2 linked regions of the Astyanax mexicanus genome follow. The protein of the gene in region 1 purifies or fractionates together with the protein of each later gene. This does not show direct contact. Links are inferred from orthologs where the notes say so. Each region holds a gene or a part of one and is shown in the gene's direction. Other genes may lie near its edges. The genes, in order: zufsp and ubr5.

The links.
Region 2: the proteins of zufsp (region 1) and ubr5 purify together in Homo sapiens (affinity purification with mass spectrometry, with the first as the bait; 3 studies listed by BioGRID). This does not show direct contact. The link is inferred for Astyanax mexicanus from reciprocal best matches to the Homo sapiens genes ZUP1 and UBR5.

Annotation. Positions count from the first base shown.
Region 1 is NC_064411.1:31,759,541-31,768,264, reverse strand, and holds the start of zufsp (zinc finger-containing ubiquitin peptidase 1), read left to right. Parts: upstream 1-4,441; 5' UTR 4,442-4,575; intron 4,576-6,219; 5' UTR 6,220-6,232; coding exon 6,233-6,767; intron 6,768-6,863; coding exon 6,864-6,971; intron 6,972-8,479; coding exon 8,480-8,542; intron 8,543-8,662; coding exon 8,663-8,724. Other genes in the region: kpna5 (importin subunit alpha-6), read right to left, coding at 937-1,038, 2,839-2,967. UniProt on the Homo sapiens protein: Deubiquitinase with endodeubiquitinase activity that specifically interacts with and cleaves 'Lys-63'-linked long polyubiquitin chains. Shows only weak activity against 'Lys-11' and 'Lys-48'-linked chains.
Region 2 is NC_064408.1:122,133,183-122,141,906, reverse strand, and holds the start of ubr5 (E3 ubiquitin-protein ligase UBR5), read left to right. Parts: upstream 1-3,435; 5' UTR 3,436-3,643; coding exon 3,644-3,705; intron 3,706-8,724. UniProt on the Homo sapiens protein: E3 ubiquitin-protein ligase involved in different protein quality control pathways in the cytoplasm and nucleus. Mainly acts as a ubiquitin chain elongator that extends pre-ubiquitinated substrates.

The DNA of each region.
Region 1 (8,724 bases):
AATAGATAATAGTAAAAGTAAAGTAAAATGTTAAAAATGATGTGTGATTAAATGAATAACAGAACTAAGTAGAAGAACGAAAATATAAAACATTAAAATTAAATAAAAAAAAATTAAGTAATAATAAATAAACAAGAAATAAATAAAAAAAAACTAATAAAAAAGTCATTTAAAACAGTCACAGGCTTTCTAATGGTGATTAGAAACTAAAAGTTTAAAATATATAATCCAAATTCCATTTCTCATTTGTAACCCTACACCTTGTTTTTAAAAGAACCATTCCCCTTTGAACAGAGTAATAAGGAGAAGGAGTAAAATCCCTTCAAGAACCCGATACAGATAGTTATAGCAGTGAAGCGCTAAAGTCCAGCAACCTCGCTGCTTGTTAACTAGAAAGCTTTAGGGTATTGTATGCTTTCAGAAAAGAGGCAGGTGGTGAAGCAATTATTTATTATTTTTAAATTCCTTAATTCCTTTGTAATGGGGAGCTAAAATAAGCTTTTATTTTGTTTTTCTGTTCCATGTTAAAGTGCTGCAGCCTCTGCTGTTTGCTTAAAGGTGGACCGGAATAGTTAGCTAACTAGCTATCTAGTGAGACAAACTACTAGCTTTTTTATGCTTGTTATGAGGGAAAAGGCCTGAAAACATGTAAACTACACATTATATTATAGTAATATTGTGGTTAGTGTAACTTGTAACAAGGAAAATACTCAAATTTGTGGGTCTTCTTTGGTCTGTCTCACAAAATCTCAGTTTAACATTGTCATGTAGCTCTAACACTTCCCTCTACCTCTCTAGCCTAACAAGAATTAGGCTAACAGTGTAAAAGTGGTGAAATGGGAATGTACCATTTCTAGTGCTCTCCTGGATAAAAGCATGTATTCCCAGTTCCCAGCCAACAATTAACAGCACTTGGAGCATTAATAATACACTTACTCCTGATATGGGGACAGTGGAGCTGACGTCAGGATCCTGAATGGGGCACTCTAACATGGACTCATCACCCGGCGGCACATAAACATTCCTCCTCTTGAACAGCTGCAGTTCAGGAATAAAATACATAATATATAAAAAGAAAGATAAATTCATAACTATTTTACACAGGATACAAAAAAACATTCTAAATAATCTCACAAGTTACCATCTGTGTGTGATTCCAAAAATATATATTTAACTTGCATAGGTAATTTGTGTGAAAAAAACTAAATACATAAAAAAAATAAAATACATAAATAACAAGCTATTTACTATTTATGTTAGTCACATCACACTCTTTTGAGCTTTTGTAAAACTTTAGTAATGGTGCACAGTTACCAAAACAGTGTTTGAAAGATTTTGGACACAAAGTTATGCAAAACTTATGCAAAAGTTTTGCATAACATCTTTCACATCCTCCACCTAGACATACAACTGTTTGTATTCTGAATTTATCGTTTTAATTTATCATTAATTGCAAAATGAATATGTGAAATTTCATTTTCACCAATATGTCATTTAATTGCAAAAATATGCTGAACTACATACATATTTTATGTACAGCTCTGGAAAAAAATAAGAGACCACATTAGTTTGTAAAGCAGTTTTACAATTTTAATATTTATAGGTATTAGTTTGAGTAAAATGAACATAATTGTTTTATTCTATAAACTAAAATCTCCCAAATTCCTAATAATTCTCAAATAATGCAAAAGAAAACAAGTAAATATTTTTTATTAAGATTTAAGAGTTCAGAAATTAATATTTGGTGGAATAACTCTGGTCTTTCATCACAGTTTTCATGTATCTTGGCATGTTCTCCTCCACCAATCTTACACACTGCTTTTGGATAACTTTTTGCCACTCCTGGTGCAAGAATTCAAGCAGCTTAGCTTGGTTTGATGGCTTGTGATAATTCATCTTCCTCTTGATTATATTTCAGAGGTTTTCAATTTGGTAAAATCAAAGAAACTTATTTTGAAGTGGCTTTTATTTTTTCCCAGAGCTGTATATATAAACTTATACGTTGTGCATGGCTGAAACAGGCAATTCCACATTCTGTTACTATGAAATCTCATGCAGTTGCATTGTTTGAACACCAGACGTCAGATTTCTGCTAGTGCTGATCCGAAAACCCAGAGACCTTTCTAAGAAACATCAAAAGGAAGGCACCTGCCCATCATATGAATCGTATGTACAAAAATTGTTGGCCTAAATGAAACAAAGCATAGTTGTTTACCAAATCCAGATTATGCCTATATTCATTAATTTGTAACTACATGAGATCTCTCATGTGAGTCATGTCTGTGTTAAATTCTGTAATGATCTACTGAGCACAATGTGAGATCAATTAGGATGCTCTCCTTGTCACATGCCTACAACAAATGTTGGTCACTCTGTTTTGCTCGATTGCCCCAAGATATTATATAATATGATTTGTGGTTGGCATGCAGGAGAATCTGGAGTCATGTAAGAGGTGGGACATCTATTACAATTACACTGCCTAGCTTTAGAAGAACACAGGATAAATTACAGTTTTCCTGGTTGAGGTAATGTTACTTTTAACATAAGTACAGGAGCAAGCTACTAAATGAAGCTGAAGGGCAGAGTGTAACTGCTAAAAACATGGGTAAGAAGAGTATTTAAAACTTTCGGGAGTTTATCATTTCTGAGCTAAAAACAGCCTGTGTGTATGTGTGTGAGTAAGAGCAAGAGAGAAAGAGATTAGGAGGAAATATTACAGGATTTCAGACTAATACGAATTAATAGGAACAAACCACTGGACGTGGTCCAATTCCACCCTTTGGATTTGTCTGATTCTGCAACAAAGTGTACTTGAGTAATACTGCTTTACAGGCCTACCTGTTCTTCTCTCTTCTGTTTCCGCAGCTGGATGCCCTCTTCCTCCCTCCGTCTTCTCATCTCCTGCGGGTTCAGGGCCTTGTTCTTGTAGCTTTTCATTCGATAACTGTCTTTTCCTGGACTCGCCATTTTTGTTGTCCTAGTGGTCATACAGCAAAAGCTGATCAAATTGGTCTTGCACGCTGTGCAAAAGTTTCAAGTTTATAAGTATATAAAATTCCAGACATTTTTATTTCACATTTAAAACTTGCACTACATGATGATGGCTCAAAAATGTCATCAATATCCATAAATTCTTTCGACTTTCTTTTCGATTACAATTTAGATTTTTGGCTCTTACATAACATCAGTTATTTTAATATGTGACTATTAACACTCACAATATGCAGATCAGACAATTAATAATAACGCCCCCCTGCTGACGTCCAATCATCTGGGTCTCACTGCTATCAGAGGCATACTGCTGCAGCAGTAGCTCAGCCAATCAGCTCTCTCTCCTGCCGCACCTCTAAACCCATACATCACTCAACGCCCCTTCCAATTTTTAGCCTTTTTCCAAATTTGAGCTGAAGGTGGGGTCATCAAAAATCAGGGGGTTTAGTGCCCCTTAAAGACACTTTTAAAGCACAACAATATTTAACAATCCTTTAAGTGGTGTAGACAGAACATTAAATAATGATTAAAAAAATCTCAAACTGTTTTTATTTTATTTATTTTAATATGGAAAAGCTGAATATAGTTATACTAAACACATTAGCATAACTGTATGCTAACATTAGCTAGCTAGTCTCAGCAGCCAATATTATAGAAATACCACAAGTTATATTAACTATACAGCTTAAAAATGTACTGTATTTAAAAGTTAATCTGTATTTAAAAAATAAATCAGGTGGGATTTTGAGTTCTAAAACTGGTAGCGCTAAATAACAGCTGGTTTATTAGTAAGCTATGATAGCTAGCGTTAGCTAACTAAGCTAGCTAGCTAGATGCCAGGTGGGGCAACACAAAACTGAACCCACCCATTCCACCTTAAAGAGTAGAGTAGTTACCATAAACATATATGAGCAGTTAAATTCTGGAGTCTGCAGGATTTAGCTGGCACTGCTGCCCTGTATAAGGTGGAACGGACAATTAGATTAAGAAGGCAACTCCAGCATTTTGGAGCATTAAACAGCACCCAACTAAGATGTATGTTAGCATTACAAGCTGGTAAACCAATGTAACTGGGAACAATGTGTTTTAATCCGCACTAAGAAGGAAATTTATCTGTTTTTTCTTGGTTTCGCAACCCAAATATACCAGCTTTGCTCGCTAGTGCTAACCTAACGCTAGGTTAGCAGAGCTAATGCTAAGCTAGCTAACCTACGTCACTCCGCCTCTGCCCTCCTTTCTCAGCGTAATTAAAGCCCCTAATCACCCTTAACCCAACCTAAAGTCACACCGGACGGTGACTGAGGCTCACCTGTTCACTTCTAGACCCCAGTCCTGTGCGGATAGTCGCTTTTTTCGTGTTTTATTTGCTGTTCCGTTCCTCTCGCCTCCTTCCCGATTCACTCCGGCTGAGGAGGGCAATATGGCGTCCCCAGGTTACGGCCGAGAAGCGCGTCACTTCCCGCGATGTTTCCAGCGGGTCAGGCGAGGAAAACGAAAATAAAGAGGCTGAGTTTCAGTGAAATGAGAACCCGGAGAACCTGAGGTGCAGCGAGAAAAACTGATTAACAGGTTAAAACAACTCGAGTAAGTATTTAACCTACACCATTTAAATGTAGCTAGATATGCTGGAGGTTTATCTGTGTGTTTCTATTGTCTCTGAATGGTTGAATATGATTGAATACATTGAAGGGGCTCATTCATTCTGTCTAAAACATGCCATCGTCCTCGTTTGATTAAAAAAGCAACATATTTCTGACTTCTAGTGCACGAACTTGCATGTGGGAGTGTTTATTTAGATTTAGATCCCTGCTGTAAACAAAACTGCACAGCTCCAGCTGGTTAAGCTAAGCCGGTTGACCAGTTTAGATTTTGTCCAATGTAGAGTATGTTTCTGTTTTTGTTAACACAGACTTTGATGGTTTAGTTGCTCTACAAGCATGACAAACCAAAAAAAGCTAGCTAGATATCCAAACTTGACCATGCTCTGCGACCAAGCTGGATATCCAGAATAACCAGCATGTACAAGCTGGTCAATCTTCAAAACAAATAATACCAAGCCGGTTGACCCGCAGGACCATCCTGACCAAGCAGGTTAGCCAGAATAACCAGCCTGACCAAGCTGATCGACCAGCAAGACCCGCCTGACAAAGCAAGTTGACCTGTATGACCAGCATTATCAAGCTGGTTGGCCAGAATAACCAGCCTGACCAAACTGGTTAACCGTTAAGACCAGCCTGACCAATCAGGTTAACCAGAATAACCAGCCTGACCAAGCTGGTCAACCTTCATAACATTCATTACCAAGCTGGTTGACCAACAAAACCAGCCTGACCAAGTATGTTAGCCAGAATAACCACCCTGACCAAGCTGGTTGGTCAGAATAACCAGCTTGACAAAACTGGTTGACCATCAAGACCATCCTGACCAAGTAGGTTAGCCAGGATAACCATCCTGACCAAGCATGTTGACCTGTATGATCAGCACAACCAAGCTGGTTGGCCACAATACCCAGCCTGACCAAGCAGGTTGACCACCAAGACTAGCCTTACCAAGCAGGTTAGCCAGAATAACCAGTCTGAATAAGCTGGTCAACCCTTATAACAATCTTTACCAAACTGGTTGCCCAATTGTTGATAAATATGGTAATTTAGTTGGCCAAGGAAGTGTTGCAATAGGCATTCCTGGTAAAACCCTTGATGAGTTTAAAACCCTTAATGAGTTAGCATTATCCTGTTCCAACTGTTCCAGTTGGAAGCCCTGCCGTGAGAGGCATCACGTGGCACATTTTAGTGGTTGTCTGTTGTATCACCCAGCGGTTGAGGCTTTTCTTAAAGTCAATAAGGTTTTAGTCCTTATCAGTCCAGGTTTCCTGGTCACAACACCACTGTAAAGGGCGACGTTTGCTGGATGACTGGCTTATGGTTTGTCAAAAATGACCATCCTGCTTTGCTGAGTCCATTGATGTACCCCATTTTGAAGTGAACTTGGCAAATGTCTTCACATGCATTGTAGAAGCAGGTCTAGCAGTCAACAATCTCTCACCAAGTGATACACTACTGAAAAGTAGCCCCTGAGAGACTTTTAATGTAATGCAGTGGGAGAAGCACTTTTACGCCCCTTTAAAAAGCACATTATTATAATATAATATAATATTATAACAGTACAATTTTGAGATGCTTCATGAAACACTTACTGATTCTGCACGTTTACTATGTACTCCACTGACAGAAGCTGTCCCACCATGCCTGTTTGTGACATCTGCTGCCAAGAGTTTGCATCTGAATCAGAATTAAAAACCCACCTCCTTCTGAGCCACCTGGAAAATGAGATGAGCTGTCCGTTTTGCTCGCTATCAGGAGTCTCCTACGATGAGCTGAACTTCCACATTAGTACTGCACACACAGAGATGGATCTTCAGAACTCACCCACTGACAAGGCATCAGCAGATCGGGTACCAGACCCCACTGAAACCAATGGTGCTAAATGGACTGTGAAGAATTCGCCAGCCTCTTGTAACTCATGGAGAACTCCAGCTTCCCCTCAAACATCAGGTCATCACACTCTCAAAACAGCTAATGAGACGGCTGCGCCTAGTGCAGGAATTGCACTTACTCAAGGTCAAGGAGCCCAGTCCAGGATTAAATCCTCACCTCCTGCGGCAAGCACAGCAAGCGCATCTAAAAAACAAACATCCAGCGTCCACCCTGGGCAGTCTGAGGATTACTCAGCAGAGCATTGCAAGGCCAAACAGAAACGCCTGTCCTCCCCCAAGAAAGGTATTCATCAATAAAATGTCTTAATATATTCTTATATTTATTTTATAGTGGCCTTTGTTTGGATATGTTTGGTTATTTATGGTCGTTTTGTTGCAGAGAGGATGTTTCCCTGTCCGTTCTGCAGTCTGGTCTGCAGTGACTGCTTTATTCTTCAGGAACACGTTGAGCTGCATCTCCAGGACCAGGCTTCATCTGCATCTGAAGGTAGTATAGCGATTGTTACTGGTGTTTTTCAGTGATTTTAGTCTGGTGTAAATGTGCTATGATGCTCCTGGGTCTGTATAGATTCTTCTATTTATTTGTTAAATATTATTAAATATTGCCTATTTTCTCAGAGTGTACAGAGGTGCTCAAGAATAGGACCTTGGTGAAATGGAAAAAATAATCTTATCACAATATAGTTTTCCGTGTCAGTCGATATCGATATGTATCACCATATAAATCAATCACTGTCACACTTAAAGGGTTCTTTTTACTCATAAGTGAGAGATAAGGGAGTTATTTAGTCAGAAGGTAACAAATGAACATTATATAACTATAATATATATATAAATAAATAAATAAATAAAAGCATAACACTTCATTCAAAGATCAGATGTTACAGAATAAAAAAGTAGGCAGAGAACTAAATTCTTTGGTCAGTTCCAAATCAATAAAACCTATCATACAAAATAAAGTATTCTTTTCTTTTTATAACAAAATCTTCAAGCAACTTTCCAATGTAAACAAAAGAGAACATATAATTTACTCAGTTGTGCTCAATAAATCCTCATTAGTGCAGTCCTGTCTATTAGTGCTGTCAAATTTTCACACCAGACATACCCTACTACAGGCTGCGGGCCAGGAAGACAAGTCTGTCCACTGCCTCGTGTTTTAAAGCTGTCCTGTGGCAGGTCACAATACAGAAACCAATATATTTATACTAACAGAAGCAAATACTAATAAATAAATGAATAATATAGAAATAATAAGCATACTTAATGGCAATTTACATTACAATTTACCAACTCTCCCTCTCCACAACACAACTGATGCTCTCAAACACAATGAGAGGAAGAGAAATTCAAGTAATTCACTCTTGACAAGTTCAGCACAGCTGTTAACCGAAAGCTGATCAATCCAGGTGACTCTACCTCATAAAGCTGACTGAGAAAATCCAGCCAAGATGTGCAAAGCTGTTTCTATCTAAGCAAGAGGTGCTACTTTGAAGAATCTAAAGTATAAAACAGATTCTGCTTTCTTCAACATTTGTTTTTTGTTCCATATGCTTTTCTTCATAGTCTGGATAGCTTTAGTATTAATTTACAATCTGTCTTGTCAATAATCCAGTACGTCATGATAATAATAATAATGCAATCGGTGCACCAATGATTGGAGTAAAATAAATGGTACCTGGTAGATATAATTGTTTATCTGGTAGATATTATTATGTAAAATAAGAATAGTTTGATTTTTATTTCTTAAGCAGCAAACTAGTTCTGTATACAAAATATATACATTGCAATATCGATGCTGAAATGATATATTGTGCAGCCATAATTCTGTGTGCAATTCATTTTTGATTATAAGTGTATTTTACTGATGTAACATTTACTGTAAAATGAATTGCATCCAAGTAGGGTATAATACTATTAACACTGTTGTTTTTCTGTGCCGTAGCCATAAATCTTACTATATAGGCAGTATTGCATATGCTATTTTGTTGTTTTCAGGAGCTGTTCCTGAAGCAGGAGCATCAGCACAGGCATGTTCTTCTGTGAGAAACGGAGAACCAGGTGAAAAAAGATATTTGATTGGATTGGTGCATGAATTAAAAAAATGTGTCTAAAATGGAAATGCATTGTATTGCTTAAATTCAGCTGTGCATTACCTGGGCTTTAATTTGGAACCGGTAGGTTTTCCACTGTACGAGTGTCCGTTGTGTTCCTTGGTCTGTGTGGACAACAGCTCGCTGCAG
Region 2 (8,724 bases), on another chromosome or scaffold:
CACCACACTTTGTAAGACTGCATGGAGTATGTGATGTAGATCAGCGTTTCTCAACCTTTTTTCTATCACGGCACCCTTTAAATATATGCGAGATGTCAAGGCACCCCAGTTTACGAACGGGGGGGGGGGGGTGCTGGCGCAGTACTTCAGGTGAGAACGAGGGGTGTTGCTGGCGGAATATGAAATAAAATAGCGCGTGCATCGCGTGGGGGGACAAAAACTTTACAGTGTGTCCCAATTTAGGGGCTGCATCCTTCAGAGGCTGTATTCGAAGACAGATTGCGTCACAGCTGCGCAGTAATACACCGCCTCTGTGGGTCGCATCCTTCAGAGTATGCTGCCTGTGAATTGGGACACACCCCGACACGAGCTGACTCTGGAAAGGAAATATGCACGTGAGGCGCAATATTTTGACGGCACCCCCGATGAAGCCAGACGGCACCCCAGGGTGCCGCGGCACCCTGGTTGAGAAACACTGCTGTAGATGATGAATCTGTAGAATAATGGTTCAGTGCTATTGCGCCATCTGCTGGTTACTAAAGCTAACACACTGTTACTACAGCAGCTGTATCTGTTTATTATAGACATATTTAGAGGCTTGTTCAGTACGCTATGATATTCATTTTTTGCATTTGGACCATATGTGCATTACTTTACTCAGCACACCACACTGCTGAAAAAAAATATATTTTTATTTGAATATTAGTCAAATTTGAGTAAAATTTACTTTTTAAAAAATCCGCAATTTTTTTGCATTTGCGTTTTTTAAGTAAATTTAATTTCAGCGAATTTAAGTAACGTCGGGTAAGAATCGGGTGTCAGGATCGCCAACATGGCGGAAGATTTTGGCTTCATTTTCAGTGAATGAATGGGAACGGAGACACGACGTCCATCTTTTTTTACAGTCTCTGCTAAAACCAAATAAACATTAATAAAGTCAGTTATCAGTGAGAGTATCTACCTGTAATTAACTCTATATAACATTAGAATTAGCTCAGTACAGAATTAGCTCAGTACAGAATTAGCTTAGTACAGAATTAGCTCAATACAGAACCAGTTCAATACAGAATTAGCTCAGTAAAGAAATAGCTCGGTATAAAATTAGCTCAGTACTAAATAAGCTTAGTATAGAATTAGCTCAGTACAGAATTAGCTCAGTATAAAATAAGCTCAGTGCTAAATAAGCTTAGTGTAGAATTAGCTCAGTACAGAACTAGCTTAAAACAGAATTAGTTCAGTACAGAACTAGCTCGGTACTGAATTAGCTCAATACAGAACTAGCTCAGTACAGAATTAGCTCAGTACAGAATTAGCTCAATACAGAATTAGCTCAGTACAGAATTAGCTCAGTACAGAATTAGCTCAGTACATAATTAGCTTGATACAGAATTAGCTCAATACTTTATTAGCTCAGTACAGAATTAGCTCAACACAGAATTAGCTCAGAACAGAACCAGTTCAATACTGAATCAGCCTGAATTCAGAACCAGTCTTCCTAAATCACACAGCTTGAAACAGCTTGACTCAAGTAGAAGTATTGCCAATACATTAGGGCTCAATAATAAATCATATTTCTCTCTGATATAAATTGTTTTGTGATATAAATCATGCTGTTGAGAGCTGGTAGACTGAGCGTGACATGGTGAGCTCATGGTTAACAACATCAGGTACCTGTTTGGGATTAAAAACCGCTGAGCAGCAGTTGGTCTCAACGTACAAGTCAAATTACAGCCTCCTCTCTTTCTCCTGTAATCTGAGAGAGGTGTTCACACGCTTTGTGTCTCTCAGGTCCCTGTAGACCCCCCACCCATCTGCCTCCCCAGGGGTACGTTAGTGACAGGTTTAAGTGTTATACCCGTAAACGCTCCTGTTGCTCCTGTTCTGATTTGCAACCCTAAATAAGTGACAAATTGTGATCCGACAGACCATTATTCCATAAAGAATGAAAACCTGCAAAAAAAAAATTGTTTGGTATCCATCATTTGATTGGTTTCAGTTTCATCCAAAAAGTGTTTTGGTGCATATTAAGCTAAATAGCTAAAGGCTAAAGCTGTTGCCATGTGGGTCAGCCAGACGTCTTCCTGTAGCAGTTTTCTCTTGTTTCCAAGAGTCTTGTGAAGGTGTAGAAAACAGTACTCACTGCTCTTTCTCTAAAGAAAAGACTTGTATTTTAATAGTGACAAAGTTCTCTGTGTTTTTGTGTCTTTGTCTAATTATTATGATGAAAGTGTGAATGTGCTGTGTGTAAATGTTGTAGTACAGACAAAGAAAACTGACATTTCCCATTGCTCTTCACTAGCTGTAAGCTGTTAAGCAAAAAAAGTTTAACAAAAAAAAAATCACCCCCTCCGTTTTTGACAAAAAAAAAAAAAATTCTTCAGTTTTTAGTTTATTTGTTTTCCTCAAAGACAATTTTGTACATTAGATTTCTAGTTATTGACTGGACCTAAAGAGCTTAAATGGCAAAGAAAAAGAGGGAAAATGGGGTGTTTTATAATTTTTTTTTTTTATTATTATTCAATAATGGTATTAATAATATTAGAATTTTACATTATGCTTCCCCCGTTATCTTTAAACTCTTCAGGTCCAGTCAATAACCAATAATCCTACAAAATCCAGTGTATTTTAGTGTTTATTTCTTTTATTGTTGATGATTATGACTTACAGCCAATGAAAACCCAAAAATAAGTATCTATAAAATATTATATAAGACCATTTGGTACTTTTGGGAGTTTGGGCAGTGTGCCAAGTCCTGCTGGAAAATGAAATCGGCAACTCCATGAAAGTTGTCAGCAGAGGGAAGCATGAAGTGCTGTAAGATTTTGTGAGAAAACACTGCACTAAAACACAGTGGATCAACACCAGCAGATGACATGTCTCTCCAAACCATCACTGATTGGTGGAAACTTCACACTAATAATTTTATAATAATACATATATATTTTATATTATATTTATTTTACTCAATAAAATAATAATTTAAGAAGTTTAATACATTTACATGCATCATTTTTTTGAATGATATAATAATATAATACTTAATAATAAATTACCTTGCATAAGTTTATTTTACTCAGTAATATATAATAATAAAATAAATGTAATACATTCATACAAATCAGGTTATTTTACTCAATAATGTAACAAAATATTAACTTAATTTAGGAAAATTTAGTAAATAAAATTAACTAACACGCATTAGTTTATTTTACTCAGTAATATATAATAATTAATAAATGTAATAAATTAACGTGAATCCTAATACAGCACTGTGACATCACTACCAGCAGCAGCAGAAGCAGCAAGAGGCCACGCCCCCAGCTCCTTTCTCTCTTAGCGCTGCTCCAATCAGCTTCCAGCATTTGCTGCCAGATCCCGCAGGTCCAACCAGCTCGGCTGTTGTTTCGGAGCCGGGCGGCCCACGGTTGGACCGCTGCGCTGCTCTGCACACAAAACCAGCAGCAGGCTGGCGGAGCTGAGATGGCGGCGTGTGGGTGAGGAGGCGGTTGTGTGATCGGAGCGCGGCGTTTCTGGAGCGGAATACAGAGAGTTTATACAGCGGAGCGGCGCAGGAGGCCAGCACGCGGTGCGCACACTGCAGCCCGGACTACGGCTCGCGTTAGGCCCGCGTTCCGGAGCGACCATGACCTCCATACACTTCGTGGTTCACCCGCTGCCCGGGACCGAGGACCAGCTCAATGACAGGTAGCCCGGCTAACGGAGAGAGAGAGCGGGGGGGAAAACACACACTCCCCGCTGATTTTACACACCCTGCGCTCATACTAAACACACACACATACTAATAAACTGTATTACAGGGGTTTATCCGCATTAATCCGCTGTTTTTACCCGGTTTTAACCTGTAATAATGCGCCGGGGCCCGGCTACTTCTGCTGCTTCATTCTAGAGAAGCTAGTTAGCTAATGCTAGCGTGAGCCGGTGTGCTGCCGAATTGTGCTACCCTGTCAAATCCTGCTACCATGGTGCATATCTAACTACAGGTCAAGTTGCCTAGGTTAAGTAGATAAATAGGTCAGTTAGGTCAGTGTTACGCCTGGCTATCAGTTTTCAGATTAATCTAAGTAAGGTTAAATAAATCTGGTAAATACAAAAATAAGGAAAATTAAGATTAGATTCTTTTGTTTATTTGGTTTATAACTTCACATTTTTATGATGCAACGTTTGGAAAACAAAAAAGTCTCACAAAAGATTGTGAGTACAGATCCTCTTTATCTTAACTATTGTAAATAAATTAGAAATACATTGAAATACATAAATACAAATAGTTTTGCACCTAGTTTTCTCTTTTACAAATTCTGCCTTACAGCAGCCAGACATTTGAACTGATATATTAAGTAGTTAAGACAAAAGCTACAAAAGTAATTTCTTATATTATGTATACCATCAAATTTTAAATGTTGATCTTTTTTTTTAGAAAGATTTGCTAAAATAATGGAACACAGTTTTCTGTTTATAAATTCTGCCTCAAAGAGTTGCAAAAATTGAGCTGATAAGATACATTGACCTAAATAAACCAACATAAGTAATTAGGTTACAATCAGATTTTCGTTAAAAAAAAAAAAAAAAATCATTGTCCAGAAGATTTGCTAGGAAAATGGAAACAGAAAAATTTAGCCAATTTTCTGTTTTTAAAAATTGTAAAATCATTCAATCATGAAGATTTGTTAGAAAAATGGAAAGATGCAAATACAACCAATTATCTAACTTAAAGTGTCAGAATATTTGAGCCAATAAATAATACATAAACCTAAATAAACCATCTTACGTAATTAGACAAAAGTTACAAAAGTCGTTTATATTATTAATACCATCAGATAAATAAAACATGCAAATACAGCCAATTTTCTGTTTTTAAATTCTCTCTCAAAGGGTCAGAAAATTTAAACTGTTGTATTGAAGAATTGTAACAAAAAAGGTTATAATAAACCACAGAAAAACGAATCAAAACACACAAAGTTGTCCTGAAACACACACCAAAACACTAAAAATATCAGTTGACGCATGCGCAGAGGCACGGAGTAACACAAACAGATGGGTGGTACAAATAGACCCAACACCATAGTGATGGACAATGCGGGTTGGGGGATGGGGAGAAAAAAGAGGGAACGGGGACAAATCGCGCTTATTAGCGATTACTTTCTTTACGTTTAAAAGCGTACGGGCTTTAACTGTTTAGAAAACCCCCATATCGATGTTGTCGCGGCCGTAACTGATCGATAATCGATAGAAGAATCGAGTTTGGCTGCGCGAGGAGCGGGACGCTTTAGCTTAGCGTAGCATAGCTTTAGCTTAGCATAGTTTAGCTTTAGCTTAGCATAGTTTAGCTTTAGCTTAGCCTAGTTTAGCATAGCTAGCTGAACTGTTAACGGTGGTTTAGCGGACTATCCGGCGCCAGCCGGCTAATTAACCATAAAAATAAGGATATTAAACGTATAATCTCTCACAATCAGGCTATAAATGTTTCCAGAAATGAGAATAATTAATATTAAACTGCTTTTTATCCCGGTGGTTGATTAGCTAAGCAGGTTGGCTAGTTAAAAAAACACAAACATGAAGGAAGAAGAAGGCCCTGCAGTATCAGATTATTCAGTTTATTCAGTTTTATTTAGTTTATATTTAGTTTATTAGGTATAACTCTCTGCTTTTCTCTTCTGTCTTGTGCTTTTAAATGTAATAGGGGGTAAAATCTACATTATTATGAGCGCAGTAACTACATTTTTGTGTTCTTTTATTTAACTACAGGGGGTCGTGGGCTGCTACAACATGGTGTTAGAGCCGCCTGGCTCTGGTAATTTATGGGTTACTTATCTATTAATATCAATATCAAATCAATAACTAGCAATATAACTCCTGTTTGAGATCATATACAAGAGTTTTACACAAGAAACCTCATCAATTTGTTTGTCACTTTGTGAAAAATGTCCCATTTCAATGAATGTTTAGCTTTTAAAAATGGAGACAAATGGGCAGAGTACTCTAGTTGTATTTACATCATAATATCGGTATTAAGCACATATACATATTTACACAGTAGGGGTGTGCCTAGGGCTGGGTGATATGGATTAAAACTAATACAGACACTTTTATAAAAGTTCAGCTTGAGATTAACACGAGATATATGAACATTCAATCAGTATAAGCTACATTCTTTAGCTATAACATGGTGTTAAAGCGGGTTAGTGGTGTTAGTGGGTTACTTATCTATTAACATCAATACCAAATCAATAACTAGCATTTGAAACTCCAATTTAAAATCATATACAAGAGTTTTATACATACGTTTGTGAAAGTGACCTGTTTGTATGGATGTTTAGCTGATTTAGATCAATTAAGCTTTTAAAATAGAAATAAATTGACATTCCTCTTGTATTTGTATTTGCAGTTTATTATTGGCATTAAGCACAAACTGTCAACTCATCCTCTATCGAGATAAACTACCTTTTTATGTGATTAAATACACATAAAAATACACATGTCTCTTGCTGTTTTTGTGTTTGTGGATTACGTAGCTATTTATATCAATACCAAATCAATAACTAGCAATGTAATTATTATTTTAGTTCATATACAAGAGTTTTACACGAGAAACCTCATCAGTTTGTGAAAAATTACCTGTTAAAATAGATGTTTAGCTGATTTAGATCAGTTAAGCTGTGGAAACAGAAGTAAATTGACAGCAGAGTACTCTAGTTGTATTCACATTCTAATATTGGTATTAAGCACAAACTGTTGGAACTCATTGGAATTCAACACTGTCCAAATTGATATAAACTACATTTTTTGTGTTATATTATTTAACTAAAGGGTGTCTTTAGCAGAAACATGGTGTTAGAGCTTACTGGTTCTGGTTGTTTTTGTGTTAGCGGGTTAATTACCTATCAGTATCAATAACTAGCAGTATAACTCCAATTTGAGACCACATACAAGATTTTTGCACAGGAAATGTTTTTTTTTTTGCCTCATCAATGTTTAGCTTTGGAAATGGAAACAAATGGGCAGAGTACTTAAGTTGTATTTAAATTCTAATAATGGTATAAAGAACATTTGCATACAGCTCTGGGGATATAAATGAGAGACCACTTAAAATTTAGTTTCTTTGATTTTACATGTGAATTTAATTTGAATTACATGTATGCTGTCCGACTCATTAGTCCACAAATCCATATAAATGATGAATATTCACATGAAGAGTCTCTCTTAATTTTTTTATTTTCACCTGAAATTAATTCATTTTTAATATTGACTAAGTTTGTTAATCTTATTTTAAGTTTTAGGTTTTAAGATATGTTTTACTATCTCATTTGTTTATTCATTTAAACATCAATTTCAGTGTTTTAAAGCATTATATAAGCTTGTTTTAAACATAAGTGTGTGCTGTCCATCTCATTATTCCACAAATCCATATGAAGAATTTTTTTGATTTTCTATTTTTTTTTTTTACCTGAAAATAATTCTAACATTGACTCATTTTATTTGTTAATTTTAGTTTTATGAGTTTTTAGGTTTTAAGAAATATTTTCTTCACTGTCTTAATTGTTTATTAATTAAAACATAAATTTTAGTGCTTAAATAAGATCATTTTAAACGTGCCTATGTGTGTGCTGTCCGTCTCCTTATTCCAAAAATGCATATGAAGGCCTGATATATTATATGCATTCCAGATCGTTCTTCGCATGTGCCATCTCTTTATTGTTTATAATGTGTTTGAGGTTGAGCATTGCAACTTAGACAAGCAAGAGGACTTTCTGATTTTCTGCTAGTTTTGACTCTCAGTTGTTTATTCATTTAAACGCAAATTTTAGTGATGTAAAACATTTATATAAGCTTGTTTTGAACATACATTCATGTGTGCTGTCCGACTCCTTATTCCACAAATCTTGATTTGTAAATGCCTAAAATATGTTACCATGACTCTGCTGACATTCTTAATGTGGTGGAGATCAGCACTGCAACCCAGGCAAGCAAGGGGATTTTCTGATTTTCTGCTAGATAATTATCTTCGCAAAAAAACAACAACTTGAGTTTTAGTTGCTTTTGTTTGAGCCTCTATTGTCTAGGTAAAGCTTAATAGTGTGTTTTAGGGCACTGTGGAGAGAATTTGATTGAAAGCGATACCAAGAGTGTCATTGAGTGAATGGATATTTTGAGTCTCCACCATTTAAATGGGCAGAAATGTTAAAAAGTGGTGAATTTTTCCTTTAAGCCTGACGTCAGCTGGGCTGGAAGTGATGTTATGGTGTTATTACAGTGCAGTCTGGGCCGTGACTAAGCTTAGAGAGTGCTCTGCATATTGATTTATACTCATTGTTCTGTGGCTGGCAGTGAAGGTAATGAATCATATGGGTCACATACTGAATTTCTGTATGTGCAAACATGTGTTTAATGATACTACGCAGGTTTGATGAGGATCACCTTGTTGTTTTGAAGGTCCGCAGGCTTTCAGCAGGCTGTTTATGTTCTGGTTTACTCTATGCTGGACTATAATTAGCAGTGTGATTTTTAATTTGACACATTATATTGTGTGAGCATATTCAGCACGCTAAGCAGTGTGATCTCCACATCCATCAAAGAGACTTGTGGTGTTTTTGGATCTTTCCACCTCTGATTTCCAGGAAACTGGTCTGAAACCCCATAATGATTCCTTGGCGAGTTTTGGTGAGTGCGTTTGTCGAGTCCGGCCCGTCTGCAGCACTGCTGTCACAG